Linked DNA regions of Drosophila melanogaster. The protein of the gene in region 2 interacts with the protein of the main gene of each other region in a pairwise test. Each region holds a gene or a part of one and is shown on either strand. Other genes may lie near its edges.

The links.
Region 1: the proteins of mgl (region 2) and ReepB interact in a two-hybrid assay, tested with the Drosophila melanogaster proteins (one large-scale study listed by BioGRID).

Annotation. Positions count from the first base shown.
Region 1 is NT_033778.4:14,168,435-14,173,498, reverse strand, and holds ReepB (receptor expression enhancing protein B), read right to left. Parts: upstream 3,038-5,064; 5' UTR 2,919-3,037; coding exon 2,777-2,918; exon of another isoform or gene 2,582-2,776; intron 2,340-2,581; exon of another isoform or gene 2,136-2,339; coding exon of another isoform or gene 2,048-2,135; intron 1,711-2,047; exon of another isoform or gene 1,340-1,710; coding exon of another isoform or gene 1,273-1,339; intron 1,210-1,272; coding exon 977-1,209; intron 916-976; coding exon 816-915; intron 753-815; coding exon 691-752; 3' UTR 501-690; downstream 1-500. Other genes in the region: mRpS16 (mitochondrial ribosomal protein S16), read left to right, coding at 14-130, 196-468; CG18324 (uncharacterized protein), read right to left, coding at 3,390-3,929, 3,977-4,112, 4,396-4,643.
Region 2 is NC_004354.4:9,497,073-9,502,198, reverse strand, and holds the start of mgl (megalin), read left to right. Parts: upstream 1-2,069; 5' UTR 2,070-2,325; intron 2,326-5,126.

The sequences.
Region 1 (5,064 bases), on a different chromosome or scaffold from region 2:
ATAAAATATCGGGATGTCTCTATCGCCAGCCAGTGGCATTGGTCGTTTCTACGCCAAGTCGGCAAAAATCATACGTTTCGTACGCCTGGGATGCACCAATCGGCCTTTTTATCACATTGTCGTCATGGAGGTGCGTACTTTTAGGCCATTAAAATGGTTAAAACTTTTAATTGGTAATTGTATTTTCCGGTTTAGAGGCGCAAGAACCAGCACCAGCCTGTCATCGAGCAGGTGGGCTCCTTTGATCCCCTGCCCAACGATTACAACGAACGACTGGTGGCCCTGAACACGGAGAGAATTCGCTATTGGCTGGGCAAAGGTGCACACTTGTCCACGCCGGCTGCAGAACTCCTGGGAATTGCCGGACTACTGCCCATCCACCCGCGCACCTACATGACCGCCTGGCGGAACCGGAGGACAGCTGCTGAAGCGGAGGCGTCGCCAGAAAAGGCGGAATCAACCGCATAAATATAGTTGTGCCTCAATAAAAGCCTCCTTTTCGTTTTTACGTTTAACAAACGGAGATTTCTTCTGGTTCAGCGAACACTGGTGCTCTTATCAACAACAAAATGAATACAGAATTAAAATTTATTGCAAAACGTAACCAATACGAGGTGAGGTTGGTGACCAGGCCCAAAACCAAATGCATGGATAAGCGAGAAGCGGTCGGAGCTACGGTACATTCGCCTTCTAGTCATGCTTCAGCACTCCAGCGGCTTTCTTCATGCCATCATCGATGATCCTGTCAACGGCTGTGTGCAAATATTGATCTCCTTTTAGTAAAATTGCAATATCTAAGAGGTGAATTTACTCACATTCGTGATGTTTCAGGAAGTAGGGTCGCACCAGCTTGTTGTAGATGATGGTAGAACCATTCTGTTCCGTGGGCAGCATGCACCAGATGAGGAAAGCACACTACATGTGGAGTTGAAGCATTTAAAAGAAGATTCTTATATGTGAAGAATGCAAAGCTCACCTTCAGCAGCCAGTAAAAGGGAATCACCGAAGTTAGCAGACTCGAAAAGAATTCAATCACGGTGAAGATTCCAAACGTGACCCAGTAGATCAGCCACTTGGTGTCGTCCTGCTTTGTGCTGGACTCGATGGCATGGATGGAAATATATGCAGGGTACAGAACCCCAATGATGTTGCACAGTAGTTGGGCGCCCCAGCCAAAGATCAGGTAGATGGCGCACAGACCAACAGCACCTACATATGATGAAATATAATACCTTATTAGTAAATAGCATTAAGTCACTGCTGGAGCTCTACCGTAGCGCAGGAGGGGGTTCTCTACGAACAGTTGGACAATTTTGCTCTCTAATTCCTCGACTGCCATGTTCGCCATCTAGTTGGTCAATTGATATTGCCCTAGTGGCGCATTTTCCCTTATGGCTATAAGCAGGTCCAAGGGCAGGAGCGGTTCCACAGGGCGCAGGGTGATCAGATGGAGTTAACACTTACAAACTTTAGCTACAAGACTAACTGTTCCAAGGGCACAGTGCCAGGTGCTCGTACAGCTTTCAAGGGCGCCCCTTCGTGGATCCCTGGGGTTTTTAAACCGCCCCATGCCGTTGGCTAATTATAAACCCTTAGCTGTTGTCAGTAGATGTCTCGACCTGCCTCTGATCCCGGCCAGTTGCATTTTGCCCACCCAGATGAGCGGACTACGGCCTGTTGTTTTGCCATAAATTTATGATGTCATTCATGCTCGATGGCGGCTAATTATATTTATACCCTGGCTGAGGGTACTTTAATTTGAGCAACATCATTGCAAAAAGGTGGGTTTCATTACAAGCCACAGAAACTATATCCTTAGTCGATCAGATCATTTGATGTGAATTGCGAATTCTCCATAAATGGTTGTTCCCTAATATGCATATATTTGTTTACACAATTTGTTTTGATTATTAAAGTATGCCGAACTGTTGAACAGCTAATGAGGCCAAATGTTTGTATGATGAATCAACGTCCGTCATTTTTGCAAGTGTATATAGACTTCGGTTTTGAAAGATAGCTACTTTTGCCATTATGACCACATTCTCACCTATGCCGAGGTAAACCAAGGGAACTCTGACATTGCGCCGCGTCTCCTGTCGCTGTCTGATTAGCATAATATAGTCCCAGAGCCACATCGGTAACTCCGGTGAGCACCGAACGAACGAACTGAAAGCTCTACCAACGCACACAGGTGAGTGAGTAGATTGGCTCCACGTGTGCCGACAGCGCCACGTCTCAATAATTCAGACCTTTTGACCCCGCCGAACTGGACTTTCTCCAGATCTTCGTCTAGAGAATATGGCAATGGAATGCGCCAAATGTATTGCTCACCGCGTACTGGGCAAAAAAAAGTGTACTTTCGTTGAAGTAAACAAAGAAAAGCACAAAACATGAAACTTTTGTGGATAACAGACGCACACATCGCCAGCTGTCTACGTAGTCGCTTACACGCACACATCGCATGCTCACAAACTGAGGTGTATTGGTTGCAGGCACTCGGTGATAATATAGACACACTATTTAATTGGGCTTTGCCGTTTAAGTCGTCTGTTTAATTCGTTAATTGGTCACCTGGCGGCTATTAAGCCCCCCCGACCATCCTGATTCAGCCACATACACATTGCTATATATAACAGGTTGCTATTTATAAGCATCCCGAAATATTCCACTGCATCTCTAGGCTAATCTCAATGGTTACGCAGTCAACTAGCAGAAGGTTACATGGGCGTTTCGGCGAAGGACATGCGATGACGTCGCCAGGATATTCCACACTCACCCACGAAAATATTGACCCGGTCCACGCCGGTCTTCTCCTCCACGGTATCGAAGACTTTGGTCCACGGCTTGGAAGCATCGCGCAGCGATTTGCTCACGTCATCCTTGTAGCCGTTTAAGAACTGCTTCACCTGAGTGGCCATTTTGCGCAAATTGTTTTTAAATATATATAGTCAATCAAAAATATGTGACGCCGCCGACTTTCCAGATGCCAGTCGATAGTTTGTGCTTGCGCCTATCGGTGCCAAATGGACTATTGACAATCGAAGACATGATGCGTTATTGTTCGCATCTATCGCCGCCTATCGATAAGGAGAGGTCATACTAAAATTGCAATACTGGCGGCTTTTTCTTTTTCACAGTAAATATTTGCAAACAGCAAATAATTATTTTAAGCTTTTATTAGAAAGGTAAATATGTTATGCAGCAAATTACATAAGAAAAAAAACTTATAGCAGTTGACGTGCATTCAATGGTAAACTCATGGGATCATTTTTGATGAACAATTTTATTATTTATAAAATTATAAATTTTAGGATTGTCACATCGTGGGACTTAACAATTGTATGCGAGGATTTACAGTAATCTAGTTGGCTCCATGAGGACTGGACTCTTCAGTTTCTGCGCTGGGAGAAAACATAACGATCTCGCAAATGGAGCAACTTTTCAAAAAACACAAATGTCAAGGTGGTGTGTGGAGCACTACGAAAGTATATGGGCCAAAAGCCCTTGTACATCCCATGGATCCCTTCGGTTCTCCAGATTTTAGTGAAACAGTCCACCAAGCCCTTGTACATGAGTCCACGCCCCTTTTCATCCACTGGCTGGTTGTACATCCGTGTGGTGAGCACATCAAAGGGCGAATTGGCCACTGCCACAAGGGTTCCCGACGATAGGCCGGCACAGAAGGAGAGGAGAACCGGATGGGTGATCCAGCCTTTATCCTTCAGAAGGGACTTGGCTTTGGGAAAGGTGCCGATCTGTACACTGGAGGCCACAAGCGTTCGGTTCAAGCTTGGTAAAGCAGCGCGCCAGAATCCTGAAATGCCATTGGTCCGGTAAATATGCAGCAGGGCATCCATCATCGAAGTATGCTTGTGCTGAAAGCCTACGGCAATGGACTGAACCGCCTGGGCATGCTGTTGGGCCTTTATCTGTAATGGAGGGAGATCAGATGGGAAGCTCTAGCGGATCTACTCACCATGTAGAAGGGGCTGGCGAAATAGGTGCCCGTGCAGCCGCCCAGAGCTCCAAAGAACATGCCCCGATAGAAGGATATGGAGCCATCCGCATTCTGCAAGTATCCCAGCTCCAATGCGTTCGAATATACACTTAGCCTACCATAAGGAAAGGGTATTTACACTGCAATTTGCTTAGGGTAACTATTTTCAATGATGAACGTAACGACTTATCTTAAATGTCCATTACTTCACAGTGTTAGATAAGATAAGCATGCATTTCACATTAATTCATGGTGCTTGTAATTACACTACTTAGCATTGCATAATTTTACGGCCACTTTTATATAAACTTTGTTTAAATCTACCTCTAATATTCGTATAAAGTTCAAAGATTTTGATGTTTATGGATGGCAACAAGTGTCCTTTACAATGCACTTGCCTGACCGAGTTGAGGACAAATTGATAACATAATGCCGGAGCGAGACCCTTCTCCAAAGCAAGGAGTCCGTCGTTGAGGACTATCTGCAGCATGGCCTGGGGGAGATGCCTGTAGGGCTTCACATAGGTTCCTCGGGCAGCCAACTCTCCCTGCAGCTGCATCCGCGTCTTGACCACATCGATGGGATTGGTGAACACCACCGCACCCATCGCTGCCGTTCCGCCCAGCACGAAATCCGACTTGGTCATGTTTTCACCCCAAACTTTGGATTTGGTTGATCTTACGTTAACATTTTGTTTACTCTTTGGTCGACAGACCGATTGTTACATTTATCGAATTAATGGCATACATTTTAATGCTTTAATGATTTAAATGCTCACTTGGCGGAATAATTTAAATATTTGAACTCTTGTATTTGGTGTTTAAAAATTAAAATTCGCTTAAGAAAGAAATTAGTATTTGTAATTAATGAATTTTTTATTCAAAAATATTGGTAAAATTCTTATTGAATTATTAATTAGTGACCAAAACAAATAAATCACTTTGAGAAAAGGTCATAATACATTTATTATTGCTTGTTAAATATCAACATTAATTTATCGATAGTTACACGTATGGATATCGATAATTTCGCGGACGGTTAAGAATGGATTATAAGGACTTTACTTA
Region 2 (5,126 bases):
CGAGATTAACAACACGATTAGTACGTATAGTTAATATCTACGTGGTTTCTGATTATTCAATAAATAACTTAGGAAATGTTATGGTTGGTGGGGAATTTCTTGAAATAAAAACTTTATTATTTTTGATATAATATTTAAACATATTTTGATGTATTGGCTTAAGTTAATAAGTTCGCATATAATTTGTGTAAGCCAGTCATTTATTTGAATTGCGATCAAGTGTGCAACCTTGGCGCACTGCCCCCCACTCGAGAACATGCTCTACGGCTGTTTAAACTTTGGAGATGGTTAATAAATTTATTTTGTTTATTTTCGGCCGGGTCACGCTTTCCCCAAATGACCCTCGTCATAAAACGCGCGAGAATCTCTGGGTAAATATAAATATAAGAATTGCACGCTTTGGTTTTTGTGCATGAAAAGTTTACTTCGCATTTCGGTTTCGGCCAATTGTTTTTCTTGGCCCTATCACCTTTCACTGCGAAATATGTCTAAACGAGAATGTTTTGTGAATCCATTAAGACGCAATAGAGAATTTTCCTATAGCTCGTAGAGCGTTCGGTGATGTCTCCGCAGCACTGGATTGGAAATGTATATATCTTTCTACTTGGCCACCTGATAGGCGAAACAGCTTTTCCCCTTCGAAAATCTCAAATTGTTCAATTCCGCTTCCAAGAATGCGGAACGGCCAGCAGGCGGTCAGGCAAAAGTTTTTAGGAGCCGAAACAGCTGTTCATTTGGCTGGTGACTGACTTGCTCTGCAATTAAAGCGATTTTTTTCGCGGAAGAAGGCCCTATTCGAATAGTTTGGATACACTCGAATTCTTGGGAGTAAATATTGAAGAACTTCTTCAAAATTCTCCTGCTCAGTTCTAAAACCAAAACAATGGGATTTACTTAGGTTCCGTTTCATATGTGTGTGAGTGTAAGCTTGTACTTGAGAACAAGTGCGTTTATTTTTAGCCGAGTATTGAATTAATTTTCGTACGGACTTGTAAAGGAGCTTACATTATTTTCGTAGAGCAACCTGGCAACCTGTTGAAGGGGCTTGCAACTCGAACCGCGTTCGCTGCCAGCATCGAGCACGTTGCACGTGGCAAGCAGCAATTGTGTGTTTACTCAATATTCTCGGCGTGCCGCAGATTGTGCCTTCCAGAAAGCAAAATAAACAAATAAAAGTTCCATGAAAAGGTATCATTTGTCAAGCGACAGCCGACAAATGAATACACATATGCATGTATGTATGTATGTATGTATGTCCTATGTACCCAACGACTTAGCGGCTTAAGTAGCTGCTCTAAATAATAAATTCAATTGTAATCAGAATCGTTTATGTAAATATTCAAATCGTCAATTTACCCGGACAGAGAGTGAGATAGAGAGAGTGTAAGAGTGTGACGTGGGGGGGGGGGGGGGTGGAATTGTCCTCCAATAATCCGCGAGGCAAGCAAAAGTCTGGGAGGGGGGGGGGTGGCAGGTGTAGATAAGCACCCCATTAAGACAACAATAAGCTCAACAAGTTGTTCTGGAAAACTGTCAATTAGAACCACCAACACGCACTGTGGCAGCAACAATTGTTCGAATGAAAACACAACATGCTGCATGTTGCACGCTCGAACATAGCCTTGCCATGGAATCGATGTTGCATCAGAGGTGTAGATGGGGGCTATTAGGAATTGCAGCGTAACTAAATAGTATTAGAACTTAAACGCAGAGCAGAGAACAAAGAAATGTGCACTCCGAAGCTGCGGAGTTCTCAAATAAAATGAAGCTAGCATTTTAGTAGAACTATTACTTGCTATTAAGTATGTACAATAATCTCAATAATAAGAACTAAATAATAATAATGAATTGGTTTGATGATGAAGCAAGCTCCTTGGGCAGTCATGAGCATACCAATGCAATTCTTTCGCTCTCGAAAGCGGCGCCTCTGTTTGAAGTCGCACTGCCTGTGAGTAGCGGCTGCAACGCAACATGTTCGATGGTTCGATGGTTCGAAGGTTCGATGCCTTCGGTTTTGGTTGGGCGGCGAGTGGGCTGCGCTAGCATCCGCTGGTCAGTCGCTCGCGGAGCGTCGTCGTGAACGGTCAGCCAGCGCGGCTAATAAGTAACCAACTGTAGTGACAGTGCGATAGTGACTCTGATCCGAACCCGAATCCCAGGCCCACAACAGATACGTCCAGCGTGTGGGCAGCCAGAACAGAGTGACAAGAATATCGGAGCCGACAACAACAGTAAACTGAAAGATAGAAAGAAAGAAAGAAAGGCCAACCTGCCGATTAAATTCCAATTGAGTGTTACGAGTTTTTTTTTCGAGTGAGTGCGGCGGTAAATATTTCGATCTTCTTCCCTTTTTTTTTTTTTTGCTGTGCCACCAACAGAAACCGAAAAATGCAAAAATTAAAAACCAATCAGTGAAAATCGCCAAAATTGCCAAAATATCAAATAGAAAAATATGGAAAATAGTTGAATCGAAGAAACGCAGACCGCAAAAATTTATAGAAAGAAAACAAACACACAACACACACACAAAGAAAAAACAAAAGGGGCAGACAGAAAGAAAGCGCTTTTATTATTTTATTTAACGATTTTTCTTCTTGCAATTTTTATTTTGCACACTTTGTTGTTGGGTCAGTCAGTTGGCGGCTTTCGCCACTTTACGAGCAACTTCCTTTTTTGGCCGGAGAAAAACCAGTCTGGCCAAGAGACCAAAAGACCCCTGGCCAAAAGACGTCGGTCGGTGGGCACCAAACACTGCGAATGTAAACAAAACAGCAGCAAACCGTATTTGTTTATGACTCGGCTTGGCCAGGATAAAGCCCAGAGACTTTGAGACCAACTAAATCCCACACCCCCAACCGCCAATCCCGCCCTCACCAAAAATATGATTTGCTAGCATTTCCCCCCATTCCCCGGCCGAGATTCTCAAGTGCGAGAGTTGCAAAAAAAAATGTGGTCCCCCCTCCCCCCTTTTATTGCCGCACCGCGTTGAAACGACACCCGGTGAAAGTTTCCCAGTCGCAACTTAGAACTCTCTTCATTTTCGGGTTTCTTTATTTTTTGCTTGATAAATGAGTCGCTGGCATAGCCCCCGGGGCGGTAAATCATCTCTGCTTGTGGCACTGACAATTTCACAAATTTATATATTTGCCACAACAACCGACCGAAACACTCACAGTCGAAAGTTTTCCACTTCGAGTGCAAATTTGACTGGCTTGGAAAAGTCCAGGCGAGCAAATTGGCCAGAGGTGTTGCCAACGAAAAAAAAAAAAAAAAATGAATTGGTAACGAAAACAATTGACGAAATCGGAAGTGACAGCATGATAGTTCAAGTTCAAACACGCATAATAACTTCATTGAAAACTGTAAACTTGAGAGTAAACAATAGTTTTCAAAGATTTCACGAAGTGTCTTCAGTTCAGCATATTAAATATACCCAAATACGGTTTCAAATTGACATAGATTAGTAATTTAACATAGGAACAGTTAAAAAAGTTAACCAGCTGGTGTGATAATATCTATGAAATTGTTGGTTTCTGGAACTTGAGAGATTCGCAAGTTCTAGCAAGCAGCGGTTGTTAATGCATATGAATACGAGACATCGAGCAATTTCGAAGATATTCCACGCCAGTTATCGCCCCCCCCGCCAGTAACTGGAGGCCAGCTCTAGCTCCCATTTTTAACTGGTTACCCCGCTCGAGAATTCACCATGTCGGCTCTCGGTTTTTTCCTTCGCTTTTCGCTTACTCCACACAACACAAATCGAATTGAATGGCAATCTGGAATATGCCAGGCAGATCCAATTGCATGCCACATATGCAGATGTAATGGGAGAGTTGGCCCACTCGCCACCCCCTTGTAAGCCCCCATCGAAACACCAACACACCCCCCCCCCCCCGGCCGCTTACAAAAATTAAGCCCCCTTAGCCGCCCCGCCAACTGTACCGCTGATCTGCTTGCCTCATTGCCGGTTAGAAAGCCAATGGAACGAGTTTCGTTGAGTGTGCAACTAATTTTCTAAATTGTTGTCGCTGCTGATCGTTGAGCGTGGCAAAAAAAAAGTAAATAAATAAAAAATACACACATTATTTATATGGCCAACGTCGCACAAAGAAATTATCTGTCACCAACATTGGTCATCAATTTTGATGGGTTTTCGGCGTCTAGAATAAGCCCTTTTATCACTGACGTTTTAATCAGATCTCTTCTTCAGAAGTATACAAAATCACGGTATGATCTTGCTTGAAGATGATTTCATTTTGCTAAAACGTGTTTTAATTCACTTTTAAATCATGAATCATAAATATAGGTATTTATGTGACTATTTTATATAGGGTAATACGATAATACAGAATCGTATATACGTACGTACTTTTGTAAAATAAAAAAAATTTAAAAACGGAATAATAAAATGTATATTTATGGAAATTTTTGAACGATGGCATATTTAAATAGATAAATAATTATGAGAGTGTGGGTGATAAGGCAAAGATTTTAGATTCAAAACCATCCATTCATCATTGCGAAGATCGAACTGTCATTTTTGCGATTGATTGATTGAATTTTAATAAAAGTCTTTGAAGTCGGACTTATTTATTATTTTTTTTTTTTATTGGGTTTTTCTTCTCTTGCGAGTGCGTCGTCATCATTTAATGGTGAAGATAGAAGAAGAATTATCCGAGCCCATAGAAGGCGAAGAAGAGGAAGAAGACAGGGCTAAAGAGACAGAGCGAGAAAGAGAGTAGGAGAAAGGGAGAGAGGGATAGAGAAATGTTAATGGATTAGGAAGCGAGCTCAAAAGGCAGCGTAGAAGAAGAATCGAATCTCGGCTACTTGCGACATTAGCCCTCTCCCTCCCACTCCCGCCCGATGAAGGCGGGCGCGAAAGAGAGGGGACGAGAGGGAGAGCGAGAGCGGAATTGAATGGCCAAAGGAAAGGTGAAAAGAGGCAACTTGGCTTAGACGATGATGATGACTGTTTCTTCTGTTTGTGTACGTATGTGTGTGTGTGTGTGCGGACAAACAGGTATCACGCACACACCTACAGACACACTCACACCTGTGCGGAATAACTAAGCAGCGACCCGATTTTCAACAGAGAGCCAGTGAGAGAGATAAGAAGAGAAGAA